Linked DNA regions of Neurospora crassa OR74A. The protein of the gene in region 1 interacts with the protein of each later gene in a biochemical or structural test. Links are inferred from orthologs where the notes say so. Each region holds a gene or a part of one and is shown in the gene's direction. Other genes may lie near its edges.

The links.
Region 2: the proteins of NCU01164 (region 1) and crf6-1 form a complex in vitro, tested with the Saccharomyces cerevisiae proteins (2 studies listed by BioGRID). The link is inferred for Neurospora crassa OR74A from reciprocal best matches to the Saccharomyces cerevisiae genes SPT16 and CHD1.
Region 3: of the proteins of NCU01164 (region 1) and stk-4, one has a biochemical effect on the other in vitro, tested with the Saccharomyces cerevisiae proteins (2 studies listed by BioGRID). The link is inferred for Neurospora crassa OR74A from reciprocal best matches to the Saccharomyces cerevisiae genes SPT16 and STE20.

The regions. Positions count from the first base shown.
Region 1 is NC_026505.1:3,093,605-3,101,389, forward strand, and holds the start of NCU01164 (transcription elongation complex subunit), read left to right. Parts: upstream 1-3,538; 5' UTR 3,539-4,101; coding exon 4,102-4,278; intron 4,279-4,377; coding exon 4,378-4,462; intron 4,463-4,518; coding exon 4,519-4,640; intron 4,641-4,711; coding exon 4,712-6,317; intron 6,318-6,369; coding exon 6,370-7,478; 3' UTR 7,479-7,785. Other genes in the region: gel-1 (glycolipid-anchored surface protein 5), read left to right, coding at 1-202; NCU01163 (GAF domain nucleotide-binding protein), read right to left, coding at 1,327-1,664, 1,954-2,033, 2,156-2,160, 2,249-2,353, 2,489-2,491. UniProt on the Saccharomyces cerevisiae protein: Component of the FACT complex, a general chromatin factor that acts to reorganize nucleosomes. The FACT complex is involved in multiple processes that require DNA as a template such as mRNA elongation, DNA replication and DNA repair.
Region 2 is NC_026501.1:4,378,909-4,386,535, reverse strand, and holds the start of crf6-1 (chromodomain helicase, variant), read left to right. Parts: upstream 1-2,396; 5' UTR 2,397-2,564; intron 2,565-2,694; exon of another isoform or gene 2,695-3,017; 5' UTR 3,018-3,045; coding exon 3,046-3,459; intron 3,460-3,513; coding exon 3,514-3,543; intron 3,544-3,598; coding exon 3,599-3,695; intron 3,696-3,759; coding exon 3,760-7,627. UniProt on the Saccharomyces cerevisiae protein: ATP-dependent chromatin-remodeling factor which functions as substrate recognition component of the transcription regulatory histone acetylation (HAT) complexes SAGA and SLIK. It recognizes H3K4me.
Region 3 is NC_026506.1:2,076,380-2,084,064, reverse strand, and holds stk-4 (serine/threonine-protein kinase ste-20, variant 1), read left to right. Parts: upstream 1-2,454; 5' UTR 2,455-2,478; intron 2,479-2,585; exon of another isoform or gene 2,586-2,662; 5' UTR 2,663-3,245; coding exon 3,246-4,313; intron 4,314-4,373; coding exon 4,374-5,733; intron 5,734-5,878; coding exon 5,879-6,213; intron 6,214-6,341; coding exon 6,342-6,443; 3' UTR 6,444-7,381; downstream 7,382-7,685. Other genes in the region: NCU03895 (hypothetical protein), read right to left, coding at 1,210-1,481, 1,851-1,890, 2,241-2,327. UniProt on the Saccharomyces cerevisiae protein: MAP4K component of the MAPK pathway required for the mating pheromone response, haploid invasive growth and diploid pseudohyphal development. Links the pheromone response G-protein beta gamma subunits to downstream signaling components.

The DNA.
Region 1 (7,785 bases):
CTCTCAGCAGGCCCAGGGTACCAGCACTGGCGACGCGGAACCGGGTTCTGGATCTCCCACAAACACTGCTTCTCCCTCCGGCAGCGTCGAGAGCCAGAAGAAGTCCGGAAGCACCCGCGGTATCGGCTCCGTTGACAAGGCTCCTTTCGTCGTCACCGGATTGGTCATGTTCTTCACCTTGACCGGCACCCTTCTTCTCTAGGTCAAGGAACGATGTAGTTTGGCGTTTGCTGGATCTACAAGTTAATGATGAGGTGTTGAAAGCTGTCGTCCAGCTGGATTTTGCAGCGCAATGTATAGCATAGAATAATGTTTTTTTTTCTTTTTTTTTACTCTTATTCTTCTTTACTAAGAACGTGACAAACATAATCCATGGAGACACAATGTCTCCGAGTTTGGATTTTATTGAAAATACCTACATCAGGAAGTTGTTCTTGAGGTTTTCTTTTCCTTGGGATATTCTGCCGACCTGCTGATTAAATCGACCAAGGCTTGCTTGTTGAGTGTCCACTTCTATTGCCAAACACCCTAGTTCCTTTTGTTTTGCAACTGAACAATGGTAGGATGGTATATATATAACTCACCTTCCTCTTTCGCAGCAAGAACAAAGTGCTTCACAAGTTCATCCTGTCCGTACCTTCTTTGATAAAGGGAGGACAAACACCATTGGACAAAGTCTAAACCACCTGCAGTCGCCGTGCTTGCCCTTGATACTCAAGCGACCAGTACAGACCAAGGTGACAGGATCTCCTCCGGACCATGTATATCACTCACCGAGTCCAACACTGGTCTAATTAGTTGAGCGAGGGTCTCTCTGCAGTGTGCCGTACCCGACCCCGGTTCACGAAGAGGCCCCGTGTTCAACTCGGTTGCAGGTCATGAAAATCTTTCGAGCAAAGCCGGGATTCTGGTATGCTGCCAACGACTTTCCGTGTTTGCTCCCTACTAAAATGGTAAGTAGTGTCCTGCTACAGTTGACTCTTTTAGTGGGTTTTTTTTTTCTTCTTCGGTTGTTGTTCTGTTCTTCCCGCACTCTCTGTTTTTCTGTGTCACACCTGGTGAATAAGATCAAGACGAGACCGGAGGACCTAGTGTGAGAGGTGGCTGTCTGCGAAAGAAGACGAAATAGGTAGTCTGACCAATCACCAACACGAAGAAAACTGATGTCTGTTCCCATCCATATCTCTAGGTATCTCATCAGCAGCCCAAAGCCCCCATTTATCCTCCACATCTTTAAACCCCAACAAGTCTTCTCACCCTCATTCCACCCCTCCCCTACTATGGACCAATCTTCCCTTACTCCCCATTGCGCAAGCTTTCAAAAATTCAAGGCCAGTCACAGCTCCTGCCCACCAAATCCGCCAACTTCTCCAACCACACCTTATCGACCTCATCGAACCCGTTCAGCTCCGCACAGTCCACATCGATGATGGCCACCACCCTATCATCCACCACAATGGGAACCACAATCTCGCTCTTGCTGTCGCCGTCGCAGGCGATGTGGCCGGGAAAGGCGTCGACGTCGGGAACGAGCTGAGTGGTCTTGGTGGCGGCTGCGGCACCGCATACGCCCCTGCCGAAGGCGATGGTTTGGCAGGCTACTTTACCTTGAAAAGGGCCTAGAATGAGTTCGGTAGTGGAGGGGTGGTTGAGGGTGTAGAAGCCTATTATGTGGGCGGGTTAATTTGGATTTGGAAGAGGCTAAAGGAAAAGAGGGGAAGGGAGAGAGAAAGAGAGAGTCAAGTGTAGTGAGATGAGACGTATAGGTGTGTTTGACAGGCAAAGTAGTGACGCAGTGAGGAGAGGGAGATGTTGTCCAAAAAGGACAGGAATTTTCGACGAAGCAAGGTAAAATGAAAACTGAAAGAAGAGATAACGACCGTTGAACAAGCAGAGGTAGGAAGAAAAAGCTGGATTGGATCTTGAACAAAGATGAACACAACAAATACTTACCAGCCCAGTTGACCTGGTTGCTCGGAGCCGGAAGAGACTTGAAAGCGTGCCAGAGAAGGGCAGCGCAGTTGGACAAATTGCTATTTTTTAAAGAGTACATTAGCACTACAATGAGGATCTTGTACGTTCCATCTGTTGTTTTCAGGACGGACCATCCCGAGAAGGGGCTGTAGGGTACATGTGGGAGCCAACGTCGACTTACCAAACCTAACGAATGTCAATCATTCAGGTCACCTTTTTAGACATTGTCCCTTCCTGATGTGGTGGTGCAAGCAGGCTTGGTTCCTCATCTTACCCAGTTCCTCTGCTCATAGAACAGACCTTCAGCTTGGTCAAGAACCTGCTGGTAGGCCTCTTCCTTGGTGACGTTGGCAGCAAAGTTGGAAGCGTCGGCGTGAACCTATAAGACGAATACCGTGTTAGTCTCAACCGTCCTCAAGTTTGGAGAAGCCTGTAGTTCGTAGGTAGGTATGCGCGATGAGGTCTTCAACTGTCTCGAAACAAAGGATTGGACTGATTGAAACTGTTCACGAACCATTTTGACGTATTATTATGACCCTGTTCTTTCTATGTACAAATCTTGAAAATCGACCTAGAGTGGTGGTGTTGGACACCGAGGAAGCGAACTTCAACTTTTGAAATTTGTCATTCACTTCTGAATCCGGGGAAGTGGGGCCAAATGGCACTGCTCCGGTCGGGTCCGTGCGGAACTGCCGCCGTACCGGCAGCCGATGGGCCGGCCCCGAGTGGCCTCCGGTGGATTCACGGTTTCGATCCCAAAGAGGACCGGACTGAATCACCAGCCGGATAAAGGAATCCAAGATAATTGTGCGGATACTTACTAGATGGTGTGGGAGGCTCGTCCTCGCTTCATACTGGGCAGGATACAGCTCAAGGGCCCTTCTCGGAAGTTGTGCTGATGGCAGCTTGTCTTCTATTAGTGATCTGGACCTTATGATGTGCTGTCTAAGTTACCCGAACCAAGGTCCAGAAGATGCCCAAATGGTTGTCGAGACGGCAGCGGGAACTACTTATTTTTGCAGTACAGCAGCTCGCTTTGCAGTGAACGTCAAATCACGGACAAGTGATTGGTTCGATGGGCACAGTTCGTCGTCTTCCACCATTCAGTAAAGTTTCCCGTCGGGCAGATGTTAGCCAATTTTTCCATCTCATGGCGGTATCTTCCAGAATGCCGATCTATCAAGTATAGATGTGAAACATCACAGGTTTTCCGAGCGGCATCTTGGACATTGCTCTTTGCACTTGTACGCGGTGTCTGGGCCCGTCGAGTCTATTCTTGAAGATAGTGTTGCTGTCGTTTCGCACAGTGATTGCCATCACTCGTTCATTTATTCATTCAGGTTGACATGGGTATCAGCTCTAGGTTGATCGCTGCTGAGGACGTTCTTTGCGTCGAAGTAAAGAAAGGTGAGTTCTGGTTAGTACGTCTACTAGTATTTAAATGGAAGAAGTTCGGCACCCCAGAGCTTCCATCGCTTGCCAAGACTTAGTTTAATCGTACCTGTGCATTGGAAACTTAGCTCCACCCCTCCCGTCCCTCTGTTTCCATTCCACGCCCTGTCCCGCCTGTCCCTCTTTCATCTCCATGCACTCGCTGCAGGGCACCTAAAGAAAGAGGTACAAGTTCGACTTACAAAGTTAACAGAATCGCAAGTTGTTGGAAGTCCCGACGACACCATTTACGCTCGTCTATTTCCATCATTCATCAATATACTTCTCTACGATTCCCATACTACAGACCTTTCAGGAATATCACCATTGCCGTGGCAACCAGCATATATAGTTGCCTCAGGCACAGAACAGAACCTCTTAGGCATCCTAACGCGAAGGCAGTGGACAGGGGCGCCAAGAGCTGTGGCCCGTGACGTGAGCGACGCGCGACACGGGAATTTTTGTGTCTTTGGCCTGGAACCGGATCCCGGCTGGCAAGCACTGTAAAGTACTAGCAGTGCCGGCTGGAGAGGTGTGGTAGCCTTGTTTCTGTCATCTTGAAGGGTGTCTGCCGCCACCGTCAGTACCAGAGCAAGCAGCCCCTCGCCAAAAGCACGACTTCACCCAAACCCAAACCTCTGCTGATTTGATTGTTTCTGCCATCTTCAATCGCGCGCCGCTGTGCCGTCGCTCATCATGGCAGACATCAAAATCGACAGCAAGGTCTTCCAGGAGCGCGTCTCGCACTTCTACAATGCCTGGAAGGCCGACAAGCGCTCCGGAGACGCTCTCTTCGGTGGCGTCTCTTCCATCGTCATCCTGATGGGCAAGGTCGACGAGAACCCCGAGTTTCACAAGAACAACGCTATCCATGTGAGTTTTGCCCTCTGGAGAGCCCGCTCGGCGTGCGCTGGCTGTACGTCTGGCGGGCCATTCCAGTCAAATGACAGCTGCTGATAGCTCTACGTAAAGTTCTGGCTGCTAGGTTACGAGTTCCCGACGACCCTCATGCTGTTTACCCTCGACACCATCTACATTCTCACCACCCAAAAGAAAGGTTCGCCCGGTATTCCCGACCCAAGAACGCGGACAAACTATCTGACACGTTAATAGCCAAGTACCTCGACCAAGTGAAGGGCGGCAGATACCCCGTTGAGGTCCTCGTGCGGGGGAAGGACGCCGCCGAGAACGAGAAGCTTTTCATCAAAATTACGGATGCCATCAAGGCTGCGGGCGTAAGTTACATCCCATCCTGGGCGCACATCAACATCTCGGTGCGGTTCTAACACATTTTCGCTCGTTATAGAAGAAGGTTGGCGTCCTTACCAAGGACACCTCCAAGGGCCCCTTTATCGACGAATGGAAGAAGGTCTATGCCGATAACTGCAAGGATGTGGAGGAGGTTGACGTTGCCCAGGCTCTGTCTGCTGGCGCCTTCTCCGTCAAGGATGAGACCGAGCTTCGTGCCATGCGGACCTCGTCCAAGGCTTGCGTCGCCCTCCTGACCCCTTACTTCCTCGACGAAATGTCCAATATCCTCGACCAAGATAAGAAGATCAAGCACAGCGCACTAGCCGATAAGGTCTTCAACAAACTGGAAGACGATAAGTTTTGGAAGACCGTCGAGCTGCCCAACCGACAGAAGCTCCCGGCTGACCTCGATCCCGAGCAGCTGGACTGGATTCTGGGACCGATCGTCCAAAGTGGTGGCAAATTTGACCTGAAGTGGCAGGCTGATTCTGACAATGATATACTCCACCCGGGAATTATCATCGCGGCTATGGGTCTCAGATACAAGTCCTATTGCTCCCAAATCGCCAGAACTTTCATGGTCGATCCCAACAAGTCCCAAGAAAGCAACTACAAGTTCCTACTTGCTGTCCACAACCTCATTCTCAAGGAGATCCGGGATGGTGCCATTGTCAAGGATGTTTACACCAAGGCCTACAACTTTGTGCGGTCCAAAAAGCCCGATCTTGAGAAGCACTTTCTTAAGAACGTCGGCTTTGGAATCGGCCTGGAGAACAAGGACCCGACCTTGATTCTCAACAACAAGAACACCCGTACCCTTAAGGATGGCATGACACTGGTTGTGACCACCGGCTTCAGTGATATCCAGAACCCCAACCCCCAAGACAAGAACAGCAAGGTCTATTCCTTGATCCTTTCCGATACGATCCGTGTCACTAGCTCCGAGCCGGTGGTGTTTACTGGCGAGGCGCCTGTCGATGTTGATGCCACCTCGTTCTTCTTCAAAGATGAGGAAGAAGCACAGCCCACACCGAAAAAGGAGAAGCGGGACTCTAGGGTGGGTGCCGTTGCAACCAAGAACATCACTAGCACTCGTCTACGCTCTGAGCGTAATACAACGGTAGATGAGGACGCGGACAAGAGACGTCGCGAGCATCAGAAGGAACTCGCGCAGAAGAAACAGAAGGAAGGCTTGGCCAAATACGCCGAATCTACCGCTGATGAGAATGGCGTCGAAATCAAAAAGTTCAAGCGCTTCGAATCTTACAAGCGGGATAATCAATTCCCGCCCAAGGTTAAGGATATGGGCATCGTTATTGATCAAAAGAACGCGACCATAGTACTGCCTGTTATGGGCAGGCCGGTACCCTTCCATATCAACACCATCAAGAACGCAAGCAAGAGTGACGAGGGCGAGTGGTCATTCTTGAGAATCAACTTCCTATCTCCTGGCCAGGGTGTGGGTCGGAAGGATGAGCAGCCCTTCGAAGATGCATCTGCGCACTTCGTCAGGAGCTTGACTTTCAAATCAACCGATGGCGATAGGTATGCTGACATTGCAAACCAAATCTCGAACCTCAAACGAGACGCTGTCAAGAAGGAGCAGGAGAAGAAGGATATGGAGGACGTAGTTGAGCAGGACAAGCTCGTTGAAATCAGAAGTAAGTCGCTTTCCCGGATCAATTGTATTGCAACATACTAATTAACTATCAGACCGTCGGCCCGCCGTATTGGATAATGTCTTCATCCGGCCGGCCATGGAGGGCAAGCGTGTGCCTGGTAAGGTGGAAATTCACCAGAACGGTATTCGCTACCAGTCACCTCTCAGCACAACGCAACGCGTGGATATCCTCTTTTCCAACGTTCGCCACCTTTTCTTCCAACCATGTCAGCACGAGTTGATTGTGATCATCCACATCCACCTCAAGGATCCCATTATCATTGGAAACAAGAAGAAGACGAAGGATGTCCAATTCTACAGGGAAGCCACCGACATCCAGTTCGACGAGACCGGCAATCGGAAGCGCAAGTATCGTTATGGTGATGAGGATGAGTTCGAGGCTGAACAGGAGGAACGCCGGCGCCGCGCAGAGCTGGATCGCCTGTTCAAGTCGTTCGCGGAAAAGATTGCCGAGGCGGGCCGCAACGAAGGCATTGAGGTGGACATGCCACTCCGCGACCTTGGTTTCAACGGTGTACCGTTCCGCAGTAACGTGTACATCCAGCCCACCACGGAGTGTCTCATCCAGATCACCGAACCTCCATTCATGGTTATCACCCTTGAGGACATTGAAGTCGCACATCTGGAACGTGTTCAGTTTGGTCTCAAAAACTTTGATCTGGTGTTTGTCTTCAAGGACTTCACGAGGCCACCATACCACATCAACACCATTCCTGTCGAGTCTTTGGAAGACGTCAAGGAGTTCCTTGACTCGTCTGACATTGCCTTCTCAGAGGGTCCTCTCAACCTCAACTGGGGTGTCATCATGAAAACGGTCACTGCCAATACCCACCAATTTTTCTTGGATGGTGGCTGGGGCTTCCTGCAGAACGACAGCGACGACGACGAAGTGGAGGAGGAGGAAGAGGAGAGCGCCTTCGAAATTGACGAGAGCGAATTGGAGGACGCTTCCGAGTCTAGCGAAGAGGATTCCGAATACGACTCCAACGCCTCGGAGGAGGCCAGCGATGAGGCGGAAGACAGCGAGGAGGAGGAGGGCGAGGATTGGGATGAGCTGGAGAGGAAGGCTAAGAAGCGTGACAGGGAGAGCGGCTTCGACGACGAGGAGGAACGTGCGGCACCCAAGAAGCGGAGAAAGTAGACTGATTAGACCCGGTCTTCGTTCGCTTGAGCTCTTCTCGCGATATGACAAGGTTAATCGGTTGACATTTATTTTCCTTGTGAGTTTGCATATCTTGGGAAAAGGGTTTCAAAATCGGGCCTGTGTACAAGTTTGGCTTTTTTTCAGACTTTCCCTTTTTTTCCTCTTTCCTATGTCGGCGTGGATTTGATTTTGCGCGGTCTTTTTTTCTCTCTTCCAATGGGCAAATTTGTCTGGCGTGCAAATGGGATATATTGTTTGGTACTGTAGTTGTATGAACATGGTAGGTAGTAGTAAACTACTTGTT
Region 2 (7,627 bases), on another chromosome or scaffold:
CCAGGTGAAAGCCCACTGTTCCTGTTTCGCTGTCATTGCTTGCCTTAGGTGCCCCGTGTGCACTTTTTGTAGGTATGTAACGACCCTCCATATAAGTAGTAGGTACCTAAATTCCATCTCCCCAGTCGGGCTGAACTCTCAGTCCACCCCATGATTTCTGTCTCAGAATTCCATAACATGACAGGAGCTTCTACTATCCTATCATTGCGGTTGCACCAAGTATCTAGCTGATGTTCACGCAAGTGGTCGTCCACATTGGGTTCCACTTTTACTATTGTTCCTCTGTCCTTTGTTCTGTTTCCGCTTCCCATTGATCTCCCCTTCATTTCAGGACAACTTCTGCCCAAAGATTCTTACAGTGACCCAAGTGGCATCGTGGAGAGTTGGTTAATCATGGGCGTGTACTTAATGTCTTGCTGAAGTCAGTTTGTGCTCATTATCAGCCAAAACAGATCCGAGATCTGCTGAACACAGCCTTACATCGCCTATTTTCCCGAATACATGGTCATCGCTTCCAATGGACGACTATAATGCGGATGATGATGACTAGACAGTTTCATTGATATTGCCACTTTCTCTGTCCAGGTGATGATAGTTTCCTCCGTGGATGAACAGATCCGACCCATCCTTCACAAGTGAGCGTTAATATCTAGTACTCCCTCGGCTAAAGATAATGCGTCAATGGCAGCGTATTGTTTGTTTGGAGGGGAGTACTTGTATGGCCGACGACATCAAGCTTGATCATGACGCTCGGTAGGAGGATGTGCATAGTTACCTAGTTAGGGTTGACAACTAGAAGCGCTCGGACTCCTCCCACAACCGTATCGTTTAAGGAAATCACTCGCAGCATCACGGATGCCGTCAACGATCACGATGCAGAGAGGCGCAGGGTTACTGACATCAAACCGGACTTCCGAACAGAGCTCTGGCTGCCTGTCGACATATGTTTCCTGCGCCCCGGCCGGGCAGTGACTCACAACCAATCTACTCTGATAGCAGTCTATTCCACATGTTGTCGAGGCAGAAATGACATCGGCATCAAGACGTTGAAGATAGTTGCCGACAGAGGTCAATGTTGGCAGTCAAGGAAGGCTGGTGGCCCCAGCAGCACGGGATCGTGTGGATCCATCGTCCTGGACGGATCTGCTCCAGCTGCGCCAGGGAAGCGGTGCCTCTACCATACCCACTTGGACATACTCATAATCTGAAGGGAGTTTAGGACTGGTATTTCTTTGGTCGGATAGGCATGAGACGAGGATAAAATCTTTGATTAGGTATATCTGTTTCTCTTTGACACTTTTGGAGGCTCTCGGATTACGTTTGTGGAATGGGTTAAATAGAGGTGGCCCCGCACAATCACCTACAAGATGTTGTCGTCCTGACTGCCTGCCTGGGTTTGCCTGCGTCGGCTCGCAGTAGGTTCTCTTCGAGCCGGAGCTCCAGTGGCGGGAAATCATCCAAATCACCTTGGTGCCGGTGCTCGCGGTGTACCAAGTTGAAGTGAAGCACCAGGAGAGACCAGTGCATGGCTGGCACCTGCACCGGAGCTGACAAAGAAAACCCCTTCGACGCCAGCATGCCTACCTAGAAAAACCGGGCGACGTCCACGTACCGGGAGTATTCTCAGCTTGTCGTCCATCTTCCATCTTTCCCACCTTGTTGATTCCCAAGTCGCACCGGTACACAGTCGATGTGCCATCAACCGACAACAACACTTCTCTGAATCATTTGTTGTTATATCAACCACATTCCATCCTTGAACTTCTTCCAGTGTTGTATAACCTGATAGCTGAGCGGTCATAACCATACATACCTCCAAGCAATTGAATCGGGAATCGCCCGCTCTCGCCTGCCTCACACCGCCCACGCCGTCTGGAAGGGTACGATCGGAGTGGGCAACCAACGAGCTGGCAAGCTCCAGCAATGATATCCGACCAGGCTCGAGCCGCGTTGGGTTTGTGTCCTGTTATTCGTTCTTTCCAAACCCAAACTTACAAGAAACATTGATCTTACAGATCTTCGTCACACAACTGAAATTCGTGCGTTGTGAGCAAAACGGGCAAGGATCGTGACAGCGCCCATCGGACTGGATTAGGCAAGTGTGCTTCCTCCTGGCGCTACCATCCAGTGAAAGAGAACATCATTGAAGTGGTCAGATCACAAGACACGCGTTACATTTCGGTTTCGGTAATTACGGAGCTGGAACCTTTATGTGGCGGTCCCACACTTGAGTTCGGAGGTTGCTTCCAACGAAACTGACCAATCAGAAAGTGGGACTGAGCAAGCATTGAGTTGAGGGCAAGCGGGCCTCGTCTGAAGCACAAGCCAGGCAGTGGCCCACTGGTGTTGCTGGTTCTGGTTCACCATTTTCATGGATTCTTCTCCTCCGTCCATCACTGCGATTTTCCGCTACACCATCACCACTGCCAGCCCCCTCCCAGGGTCTCCGGCCTTGACCATTTCCCCCACCACCACTCCTCCCACGGCACCGCGATTGTGAATCTCGGGCTTGAAGATTCACTCTGCAGTCTGCTGCCTGGAGGCTCTTAATTCTTCCATGACTTGTGAGTCCAGCCACTGCCGCCCACTGCCCACTGCCCACTGCCCACTGCGTGCCCTGCCCTGCGTATTCGCCTTGCATTTTCCCCATCATTTCGCCCATCGAAGCGGGCCTCGTCGCCCTTGATATCCATCGTCTACCAGCTTGTAGAGGTCGCCAGACCGTCGATTCTTGATGAATATCGCCTCTACAGCTGCCCTAGACCATGGCCTGCTCTCCCGTGCCCTCAGGGCGCCCACACGCGACTGCAATCGCCGTCGCCGTCCGCCTCATCATCCACAGCCTTGCCTCCATCACTTACACGCGAGCCAATGCGACAATCATCATTGAGGGTCGTCCGCTACCCCGATACCGGATTTCTCTGATGATTCCGGGTCGCAAGAGTGGCCTCTTTCCATCGCCCCAAGTAGTGATTCGTAAATGACGCGTACCGCTGGCTGACATCGTCGTCTTACAGCAGGCAGCCTCCGCGTCTAAGTCTCAAAATGTCGACATCTCCCGAATCCGGTCCGGTGTTCGGGCATGTGTCACCGCCGGCGGATGACAGCCACTTCAACTTTACCAACGATACCGAAAGCACGAGCGACCTTTCAGACGTTAATGCCGCCGAGGCCGACCCAAATGACGACGCCGACGCCCAGTCGTATCAGCCTGCCGACGAGGCTGTCTCGCCGATACAAAAACCCGAGTTGACGTTCGAGGAAGCGTCCGATTCAGCAAGTGATAACGACGCGTCAGATGACGGAGACTTTGACGCCCCCGATAGCCCCAGGTCTGCTCAGAGCAACGAAGTCGTGTCTGCCTCGTCGTCCCGTACCGTCGTGAAGCGCAAAGTCGCCCACGCGACCGAGGATGATTACATCAGAGAGAATCCTGCCCTGTATGGGTTGAGGAGGAGTGTACGAATATCCCGCATTCTTGTTGTGTTATACCATGCTAACGACCTACAACAGTCACGCCCTACACAACGCCGTGCGCAGATCGTAAGTGGATCAAGATGAGCTCTCGTCGTTACGCCTCTCCTAACTGAGTAAACAGATCGACTCAGATGAAGAAGATGAACCATCCGAATCGGATGCCACACCGGTGTCTAGAAAGCCTGCGAAGAGACGTCGGGTTGAACGCTCGTTGCCTGGTAAGTTTTCATCCGTCATACTCCTCGGCATTTTGTTTCACTGCTGACTTGTCGTGATTTCCAGCTTCCAAGCGTGGCACTCCTGCTCGCCAACCCTCAATCGATGATTCCGACTCGGACACATATGGAGGCGCCAAAGCCCGCAGCTTCCAAAGAAAGGTCCGCAGGCAACAAGAACAGGACCCTGCCTTGGCTTTTAGCGAAAAGAGATGGTCTAGCCGTCGGGCCGCCCAGGTCTCAGCCGGTGCCTACCAAGAAAGTGACGCCGAAGAAGATGAAGAGGACGACTCCGAGCTTACCCCCAACTACTGGTCTGCCAATGTCGAGGATAACTCGCCATACATCGAGAAAATCCTCGGTCATCGTCCTAAGGAGGGTGTCGAGGTCACGGTGGATTCTACGCGACACGACTTTGAATACTTCATCAAGTGGCAGGGACAATCATATCCCCACAACACCTGGGAAACTACGGAAACTGTCGCAGGCTTCCGAGGCTTTCGCCGCCTCGAAAACTATTACAAGAAGGTTGTTGAGTACGAACTGGAGATGCAATTCGGTGGCGACGATATCAGTCCGGAGCAGAAAGAGCAGTGGTACCTGGATAGAGAACGTGAGCAAGAGGCCCTCGAAGACTACACAAAGGTCGAGCGCGTTGTGGCTGTCAGAGACGGTGATGAGGGCACCGAGTATTACATCAAGTGGAAGGGCCTGCAATACGACGAGTGCACCTGGGAAGCCGAGTCTCTCGTGGCCGAACTTGCTCAGGACAAGATTAACCAGTTCCTCGACCGATGCAACCGGTCATGGCAGTCTGACCGCAAGCAAACTAACCCCGATACCCGGTCGAGGATGACCAAACTGGAGAAGCAGCCTGACTATATCAAGGGCGGCGAGCTTCGCGAGTTCCAAATGAAAGGCCTTAACTTCCTTGCTCTCAACTGGGTAAGGGGCAACAACGTCATCTTAGCCGATGAAATGGGTCTGGGAAAGACTGTCCAAAGCGTCTCGTTCCTCAGCTGGTTACGGAATGAACGCGGCCAGGAAGGACCGTTCCTTGTCGTCGCTCCTCTTAGCGTCATCCCCGCTTGGTGCGATACATTTAATCATTGGGCTCCGGATCTCAATTACGTCGTTTACCTGGGCCCGGAGGCAGCTCGGTCCAACATTCGAGATTACGAACTTTTTGTGGATGGTAACCCAAAGAAGACCAAGTTCAATGTCTTAGTCACTTCCTATGACTACATCTTGGCCGATGCGGATCATCTCAAGAACATCAAATGGCAAGTTCTCGCTGTTGACGAGGCCCACCGTCTCAAGAACCGAGAGTCACAGCTCTACATCAAGCTCAACAACTTCGGCGTTCCTTGCAAGGTCCTCATTACCGGCACACCCATTCAGAACAATCTGGCCGAACTCTCAGCCCTCCTCGACTTCCTTAACCCCGGAAAGGTCGTCATTGATGAGGAGCTTGAAGCGTTGTCTACCGCAGATAACAAAGGTCCCACTGATGAAGAACAGGATGAGGCTAGGCGTATCAGGACCCAAGAGAAGCTCCGCGAGTTGCATCAGTCAATCGCTCCTTTCATTTTGCGTCGCACCAAGGAGACGGTCGAGTCGGACCTCCCCCCCAAAACCGAAAAGATCATCCGAGTTGAGTTGTCTGACGTGCAACTTGACTACTACAAGAACATTCTCACACGCAACTATGCTGCCCTCAGCGACGCGAGCAACGGCCACAAGCAATCGTTGCTCAACATCATGATGGAGCTGAAGAAAGTCAGTAACCACCCGTACATGTTCCAGGGTGCCGAGGAGCGTGTCCTCAACGGCAGCACACGCCGTGAAGACCAGATCAAGGGTCTCATTACAAGTAGCGGCAAGATGATGCTTCTTGATCAGCTGCTGGCAAAACTTAGGAAGGACGGACATCGTGTTCTGATCTTCAGTCAGATGGTCAAGATGCTAGACATTTTGGGTGACTATCTCCGTGTTCGCGGATATCAATTCCAGCGACTCGACGGTACCATTCCTGCCGGCCCAAGACGTATGGCGATCAATCATTTTAACGCCGAGGGCAGCGATGATTTCTGCTTCCTTTTGTCTACCCGCGCCGGTGGCCTTGGAATCAATCTTATGACGGCTGATACTGTCATCATCTATGACTCGGACTGGAATCCCCAGGCCGATCTTCAGGCAATGGCTCGAGCTCACCGTATCGGCCAGAAAAGACCTGTTAATGTCTACCGCCTCGTGGCCAAGCAGACTATTGAAGAGGAAGTTGTAAAGCGAGCCCGCAACAAGCTCTTCTTGGAGTATCTTACCATTCAGGCCGGTGTGACAGATGAAGGCAAGGCTCTCAAAGAGCAGTTCAAGGAGCGCGGCCTCAAGATGGACGAGGCTAAGACCGCTGAGGATATCTCGATGATCCTCAAGATGCGTTCCCAGAACCTGTTCGAACAATCTAGCAACCAGCAGAAGCTGGAGCAGCTCGATATCGATGCTATCCTCGAGAATGCCGAAGTTACCAAAACTGATGTCGATGACAAGATCAACCTGAGCAGTGGTGGTATCGACTGGGATAACTGGATGCAGGTCACCGATGTCAAAGTTGACGATCTCGCCCTTGACTGGGATCAGATCATTCCAGCCGAGCAGCTTGCTGCCATCAAGGCTGAGGAAAATAGAAAGAAGGAAGAGGAGTACTTGGCAAAAACGATAGAGGAGAATGCTCCTAGAAAAGCTGCGTTGAAAGGCTCCAAAAAGAGCGCAGAGAACGATCGAGCTGAGCGTCTGGCAAAGAAGCGACAACGCGAGAGGGAAGAGCAGGAAGAGCTCGAAGAGCAACGTGCATTGCTTTCTGATCCCAAACGCCCCCTCAATGAGAAAGAAACCCGAAACCTTATCAGGGCCTTCTTCAGGTACGGTTCCTTGGACGACCGCGAAGAAGAGGTTGTCCAGGATGCCCGCCTTAGTGATAGAGATCGGGACTTTCTGAAGTCTATTATCGAGGACCTTGTCGTTATCAGTCGCCGCGCTGTAGATGCGAACAACGAGAGACTTCGCGAAGAAGAAGCCAGGGCTGGCAAGCCACTGGCGAAGAAGGATAAGAAGGCTGTACTTGTCGATTTTGGCGAGGTGCGGAAAGTCAACGCAGAGACTGTCGTGGAGCGACCCCCTCAGCTCAAACTCCTGCGTCGCGTCCTCCGGGAGCACGCAGACATTCTCAGTTTCAGGCTTCCCGAAGCTTCCAAGGCTGCCGCATATACTTGCGACTGGGGTGCACGCGAGGATGCCATGCTGCTTATTGGAATCGACAGGTACGGATTTGGTGCGTGGACGCAAATCAGGGACGATCCTGAGTTGCAGATGCACGACAAGTTCTTCCTGGAGGAGCATCGTGTCGACAAACGGGAAGAACGAAAGAAGACGGAGGCTGTAGGGATTCAATCCCCTGGTGCTGTTCATTTGGTCCGAAGGTCCGAGTATCTCCTGTCTGTTCTGTTGGCCAAGCACTCTAATGATGCTGCCGCTAAGAAGGCAGTGGAGAACCACCATCGGAGCAAGAAGCTTCTCACGAACAACGGCCATCGACGCGGTGAAGCTAGCTCCATCTCCGGGTCTCCTGCACCATTGGGCGTTAAAAAGTCTATTCCTCACCGGGACCACCACCATCGGACTCTCAGCAACGCGAATGACCGGGGGACCCCCAGGCCTGACCACAAACGGAAGTACACCGATGATTACGAAGAGCGCAGCTCGAAGCATCGTCGGGTGGAAGACGAACGTCGTGGTACAGATAGCAAACTCGACAAGAAGAAGGACAAGGCACCCAAGGTCGATCCCGAAACATTGGAGAAATGGAAGCGGGACAGGCAGAAAGCGGTGGAGCGCTTCCATGAACTTGCCAAGTTGAATAATGATGAGATCGATAG
Region 3 (7,685 bases), on another chromosome or scaffold:
TGCTTATATGTTGGCTTACTTGTACGTGGAGGTTTTGTTCGTTTGTTGTGCAATCAAAGAATTCTGTATGGCTGGCTGGGTGCAGTGGTGGGTGCGTGGTCAACTTGCCCGCTAGAAAGCGTAAGACGAAGCCGATCTTGTTATGGAGGCTCTGGTGTTTTCAAAGTGCGAGGCGCTAACCATTTCTATCAAGTTCTCGTAGTATTGCCGTCCTCCGCAGCGTTCTCTCAAACAGTTTCGTCGGATACCTACCATTTAAGGCATGATTCGCCGTCAACCTTGCGGTATTCCAATCTCCTCAAGCTGAGGTGGTGTGTAGTTCAACGCATAAGCAGTAGCAGACAAGCTGTTAGCAAAGAGCGGCTTTGTGATCCAGCATGCATTGTCCAACGTCCGAGCGCAACAAGTTGACAAGAAGGCGACCACGGGGCCTCATAATGTGGTTGCCCAAACCAGAAAATCATCACCGTCTTGCTTGAGTTGCTGGCTTAACCTCTCACACGACTAGCCTGGATAGATCGCATCACGAAACCTGGCGCTATTCCCAATTACATGGAATAGGGATCTGGAGAGCGTGAGTGACTAGCCTGCCGTTCACATCTGGCGGCCAATCGGTAGCAAATGAGTGGCATTCACGACGAACTGTACGTAGCTATACGGCGAAGCAGGAGCCGGCGTTTGCTGGGCTGTCAAACCCATCCGCATACCACAGACCGTGTCCCACAATCTTGCGAAACACAAGGCTCACTGCAGAGTGCAGACACTACAGGGCCAGGCCAGGAGCGCTTGTCCAAGGACTGCTGAGTCTCGATATCGAAGGAAGTTGATCAACTCCTTAAGGACAACATTTCGCGCGCGGAAGGCCTGCTGCGGCCCCACAGGCCGGCCGGCCTTTGGTTTTCACAACGCTCATCGCTTCAAGCCGGTGCGCCCCAGTCGTCCCAGACATGACGCACTGGCCGGGCCACAGAGGCAAGAAAAACGAGTGGACGCCAAACGCCAGGGAATGGGACGCGGAAATCCAAGGACCAAGACGGGCGTTTCGACTCCGCCCGTTTGGCCATATCTACCCCACAAGCCCGGGGCATTTAATCACGGTTGCCGAGAAGCTGCCCCGTATCTGATACGTACCGAGGGGCTAAATCTTGGCTGATGAGCGTGATGGCGATGTGTCGATACGAAATGGTTTCCCGTTTTCAAAAAGTTCAATTATGCGAATACATAGCACGGTCCTATCGCGCCGAGCTTGAACACGCGAGGAGCATGAGCACCTCCCACCTCACTGTGCGCAGGAGGAGGGGTTGTCCCGGCCGTGATTGACGCGGGCAAGCAGAGATTGCGGCTGTGTTGTATGTAGATAGAGGTACTGTACTGACTGTCGAACAGAGACCACAGAACACCGCAGAGGTTGCACGCAGACTCGTTCTCCAAGATGCCAGGCCAGATCAGGATCGGAACCTGGAATGCCCTCGAGTTGACGTCTACATTGGAATCGAATCAAGCTGACGGCGTCAAGCAAGGTCCAGAGCGGGTGTTGGAAGCAACCTCGACGACATGATGCCAAAGTCAAGAGGAAACGAGGGGAAAAGGTTGAAGAGGTGGTGGCGCCCTGGTCCCTGTCAGTCTCCCGTGCAGAGTGTCCCCGCCATCGCCGTTCCGTTGCCGCCGGCGGTTGAACAAAAAAGTGGGCAGGTGAACTGATGGAACTTGAAGCCTCTCACAGGCGCCTTTTCGTGGTGTTGTAGTGGTAGCAGTGGCAGCAGTGGTCGAAAGTGGCTCTCTTCAACTGCAATGGCACTGCACCAGGCAGTCTAGGTAGTCCCACTCTCCCGTCCCCCACCCGTCCCCACCTGCCCTGTCTGGCAGAGGGGACGGGACTGAGATGTAGAACTAGAGGTAGGTAGTGTAGTGTAGTGTAGACTTCAGTTGCTTCCCAGAAGGCCGGACACACTCCCGCTGTCTGTCTAGAAGCCGAAAAGTGCATGTGCTGCCCTCTTGTTGTGCGGTGCAGTGTGCAGATGCAGCAAGCAACAGCCGCCCGACAGCAGTCACGAAGCATTCGAAGGGAATAGGTAGACCTAAGACCGACACAACCTCAATCATAGTATGCTTCCCTGAACTTTGCGTCCGGGCTTCCTTGTCTCCAATTCTCATTTGGCATCTGCAGGCCGAGTGTCCCCGCCCCGCCCGCCGTCCGACCGTCAGCAACACCGGACGACAGCCAGACAACTTCAGACGACAGCAGCAGTAGCAGCCCAGCAGTAGCAGCCCAGCAGTAGCAGGAGCAGCAGCAGCATCGCCGCGCATAGCCGACACCCGTCCGCCATCTTGGGTTCACTCATTTGAGCCCGGCCAACAATAAGTCGATAACGAGTTTGACGAGATTCGTAAAATTCGACAACCCACAAACTGTCAACGGCCACACATCGACACCGACTCGTACAAAGTTGGACCACCATTGGACACACCCTGCCCAAAGCAAGCAATCCCCCGCGCCGCCCAACCAGTCACCCACTTTATCCAAGTCATCCAATCCCTCTCCAGTCTGCGCACTTGTAGCACCAGCACCATACTGCTTGGACTATGCCCGACCTTGCCCTGCTCAATCATCAATTGGGTGCCGTCCACAAGCTAACGTCTGCTCACCACTCTCAAAAGGTAGCCGGACCCTGACCTTCTGATAAGCATACTAAAAAGCTTCGAGATCCATCAAAAATAAATCGTCATTCAAATAGTCTAGAGAAAACAAGCGGAAAAGTGAAAAGCGCCAGCCTAGTCCGAGTTCCCACACAGCAGTAACAACAGAAAGCATCACCCCTTCTTCAACGTACCCAGTCCCCGCCAAACCCAGCATCGCCGGCGGTCCGGGGTCTGTCTTTTTTTCCTACCTTGTACCTTCAACTTGTACACAATCCCACCACAAACCAAAGCGCAATTTTCGACCGGCATCAAGCTTCCAGGATCCCGTCCCCCTTCAATTGTCGACTTTTTTGCTCTTGTCCGTTCTGTGTCTGTGATTCTGGCCTGCCAACTTATCCCGCCCGCCTCAATAACTGCTGCCACCCCCCCAATTCCCGTCTCTTCTCCCAAGTCTCGCCTTCTTTTGGTTGACCCGGCCCCCAGCCAAACCGTCCGCCAGTACCGTACGTTGAACATCTTCCTTGTCTTTTCTTATTCTTAGTTACCCCATCTCGTAGCCCTCGTGCCCTTCCCTACGCTAGGGTTGGGTTTCTCTCGCAGTGACCATGGACGGCCAGCTCTCCCTCCTCTCGCCCACCTCGTCCTCCTCCACTTCGCATAGTCGCAAAAGACTCACAAAGAAGCAACGCCCGCCATCCGCAAATCACCGCACTAGCTCCTCTTTCAATGTCGAATCGCTCCGTATTGACGCCCAATCTCTAGACAGCAAACGGAGCGCCTCCAGCCTGCGCCAGGGCCCCAACTGCAACCAAAGCCCATCTCTGGCCAGGACCGTATCCGTCCCAGTCTCCGTCCCTTCAAACGCGCCCGCCCACACCAAAGCCAGCGACCTCTCTCTGCCACGCTCCCACACCACTCGCTCTCAATCCGCAAATCGCCCTTACAATCCGACGCAGACAATACCAACCAACCGCTTTATCCTCTCGCCGGCCTCATCGTCGCAACCCCAAACTCAATCGCCGCCTTATCCCAGCGCTGTTGCCAGCACCACCGTTACTAGCTCCAGGAACAAGGACACATCCAAGCAGTACGACCCACTAGACTCCTGCATTGGATCCTTCGATCAAAACAAATTATCCACGGATGAACTGATTGGCGCTCCATTCGACGGCAACGCCATTCTCAGTCGAATCGAGGCAACAAAATTATCAGCCGCGCCCGCGCCCACGTCCACGACCACGATTGCGCACTCCAACAACATTTCTCCTCGTCGTGTCGCTCCTCCTCCTCCTCCTCCCCCGCCTGCTCTATCGCGCTCAAACACGGACTCCAAGGCTGCGAGATCTTCAAAACCGTCAAAGTCGCCCAAATCCACCATATCAAACAAGACCATGGGCGCATCTTCATTCCGCCACTCGGCGAGTTTCTCGTCGGCTGAACAACTTCCGCCAAGCGAAAAGCCGTCCAAGTCAGAGAGCAGCTCTTCGAGTAACAAGAGACACTCCGGTGATGGTAAAGAGTCCAGGGTGCCCGGTATGCTAAGGAAGAAGTCGGGCTTCTCCGGCTTCATGAACAGCTTAGTTGGGTCTCCGAAAAAGCCATTGATTTCGGCGCCAGAGAACCCCGTTCACGTCACACACGTCGGATATGATAGCAATACTGGCCAGTTCACGGTATGTTGCCATGCCATGTCAACTAGTCTGAATGTTATGGATGGACTAATACGTTGATAGGGTTTGCCAAAAGAGTGGCAGCGTTTGATAAGCGAGAGTGGAATCACTGAGAAGGACAGAAGAGAACACCCACAAATACTGGTCGATGTCCTCACATTTTACAAGGAGACAACCGAGAAGCCACAGGAAGATCAACAGCTAGAGAAGTTCCACGATGCACGAGCGACAGATTTTCGCAGCCCGCCCGTGACCGGCACCGCTCCGCTCGTACTGCAAACAGGCGTTGGCTACGCTCATGGTCCCATGTCGCCAATGATTAGTCCACCCGCTAGTCCTAGGTTTCCTCAAGTTGGTCATGAGGGCAGCTTTGAGAACCCCCGTGCGCCGCCGCCGGTTCCCAAGGGCCCTGGCCCTCTTCCAGCAAAGGATATCAACTTGATCCCCAGCAGACCGGCACCGAAGCCACCAGCAATATCCACACGACCGCTGGTGCCGCCAGCCTCATTGCCAGCCAAGGATTCAGGAATTGGCATGCCACCGCCCGGTGATGAGGCTCCGATGCCGTACCTCCCTCCCAAGGATAATGTCCAGCATATGTACCAGGAGGAGCACAGGAACAGGTCCAGATCGAATTCCCGGACAAACGGCGCTGCCCCGTTCTCTCCCGTGCAGGCGTCCCCACTGCATCCGATCGCCACGGCGAACCAGACTGCGGCTTATCAGCAGCAATTGTTGCAACACCAGCAAGAACAGGCCATGGCCCAAGCCCAGGCAGCAATGAGCGGTCAACTGAGCCGAGCTGCAAGCAAGAGACAACAACCAACTCCGCCCACCTCACAACACCAACACCCCCGGCAGCCAGACATCAATGGGGCTCCTCGTATGCCACAGACTCAGGGGGCGGCTCCCCAAGCTAGCGCGAGACCCCGTCACAGACCGCGGCAAAGTAACGCGATTGATGTCGTGGCTTCCCTAAAGAGGATATGCTCCGACGGGGATCCGAGAGAGATTTATCGTGGGTTTACCAAAATTGGTCAGGGTGCCTCTGGTGGTGTGTATACTGGCCATGAAAGGGGAAGCAACAGGCTGGTGGCTATCAAGCAGATGAACCTTGAGCAACAGCCAAAGAAGGATCTCATCATCAATGAGATTTTGGTTATGAAGGAGAGCTCACACCCCAATATTGTCAACTTTATTGACAGTTACCTATGTGCTGGGGAATTGTGGGTAGTCATGGAATACATGGAGGGTGGTAGCTTGACGGATGTTGTCACGTTCAACATCATGACTGAAGGGCAGATCGCGTCAGTTTGCCGAGAAACCCTCAGAGGCCTTCAACATCTGCACTCCAAGGGCGTCATACACAGAGATATCAAGTCAGACAACATTCTCCTTAGCATGGAAGGCAATATCAAGCTCAGTAAGTTTTCCCCTTCGGGCTTTTTGGGCAGTCTCCGAAAGTTCAAACTTTTTGAGCATTTTCCTGTTCATTTTCCCACCATCTTCAACCCCCAACGCCCATCTGGTGCTGTGACCCGATTCTAACCCTTGTTCTTCCACCATAGCCGATTTTGGATTCTGTGCTACAATCAACGAAGCTCAAAGTAAGCGTACGACAATGGTCGGCACGCCTTATTGGATGGCGCCCGAGGTTGTGACACGTAAAGAGTACGGCCGCAAGGTGGATATCTGGTCATTGGGCATCATGGCCATCGAGATGATTGAAGGAGAGCCTCCCTACCTGACCGAGTCGCCTCTTCGAGCGCTTTGGCTCATTGCGACCAACGGCACGCCGCACATCAAGGATGAGCAGTCACTCTCACCAGTTTTCCGCGACTTCCTCTACTTTGCCCTCAAGGTGGACCCGGAGAAGAGGGCCAGCGCTCATGATCTACTAAGGGTAAGTCTTGGTTCGCCCCTGCATTTTGAATGGCCCTCTGTTTGCGGCTCTTCACCTGCTACGTTACGCTACCAGGCTCAAGGAGATGGTGATATTTCCGCCGGGCACCGAGCTAACTCTTGTAACAGCACGACTTCATGAACAAGTGCGTCGACCTATCAACACTGGCGCCCCTTGTCCGAGCAGCAAGGGAAGCCCGAGCCCAAGAGAAGGCCCGTAAAGGGCAGTAGTGTATGATTCTTCTAGGCGTTCTGTGCTGTACACGCACGCACGAGAGATATTCCCCTGGAGCGTTATTGTTTCACATCCCCCTTTTTGTTCTTTAATTTTTTTTTCTTTTTTTTTTTTCCCCTTCTGGGTTCTAAAGCAATTCTCTTCTGCAGCAGAGATTTGTGGATTAGGTGTGGTTATCAACCCTATCTCTACCTTTACGTGGCCGGTCAGGTCTTGATTTTGCATCTGCTGGAATTTCTTTCTTGGTTCGAGATATCTGTGGGTACCCGACACATAACATATGTACTTCGATCCTTAAACGCCAATTCTTCTAGGACTTTTTCTTTATCTTTGTTCACGAACGAAGGATATTCTGCCCCAACGAGCGAAGCGAACCCGGAGCACACACGTATACACACCTCTACACAGGAGGAAAAAACGAACCGTTGCACAGCGAGCGGAATACGAAATGCAAAGTATGCAAGCAAACAAGCCGAAATCACAGCGAAGTAGGCATAGCACAGCGAGCCGGAGCGCGACGGATGTTTTATGTTTGCTGGTTTCCTCGATACGGCAACGGCCTTTCGAGATACACAGGTAACTGAAGTCTTTGCCTTCTTTACGGGTTATTACGGAATTCGGGTTGGGAAACTGGGAATTGTCAAGAGGCGGAACATCTTTTTTTCTTGGTTACGGATGATATTTATGGCAACTATACAACATGGACGAAGAATTTGAACTGCTGCACCAAGATGGATGGGGCCAGATTTTCACTTCAAGGGCTCACAGTGTGTTTATCAGGTAGGGACGTTGTTGGCGTTTCTCACACTGGCAGGGAAAGGACGTCAGGGACAAAGTGCACGCTTGGAACGGGATGAGGGAGACATGAACGATGGCTGGGCTGGAGAATACAGAAGTATTACTTGAAGTGGACGTTGAGAGACTTGACCCTTATACCCGTTTCCTCTCGATGCGACATTCATGATGTGTCAAATTAAAGAGCGTTGCTTTTGACTTCTGAGGAACCCCGACAAAGGTATGCCACCAACAGAAGCTCCTCGATGCAAGCTGCATCCCACAAGCCGGAAGAAAAAAAAAAAAAAAAAGGAAGAAGACGAAGAATTCCAGTCAAGTCAACACCGGGACTCCAGATCTCGGTCAAAGTCATCATCACCAACCACAACACAGAACTTCTCAAGTCTGCTCGCTCTCACACCCTAGTAACCTCCCTTCTTTCCCTCCGTTCAATCCTTCTCCAA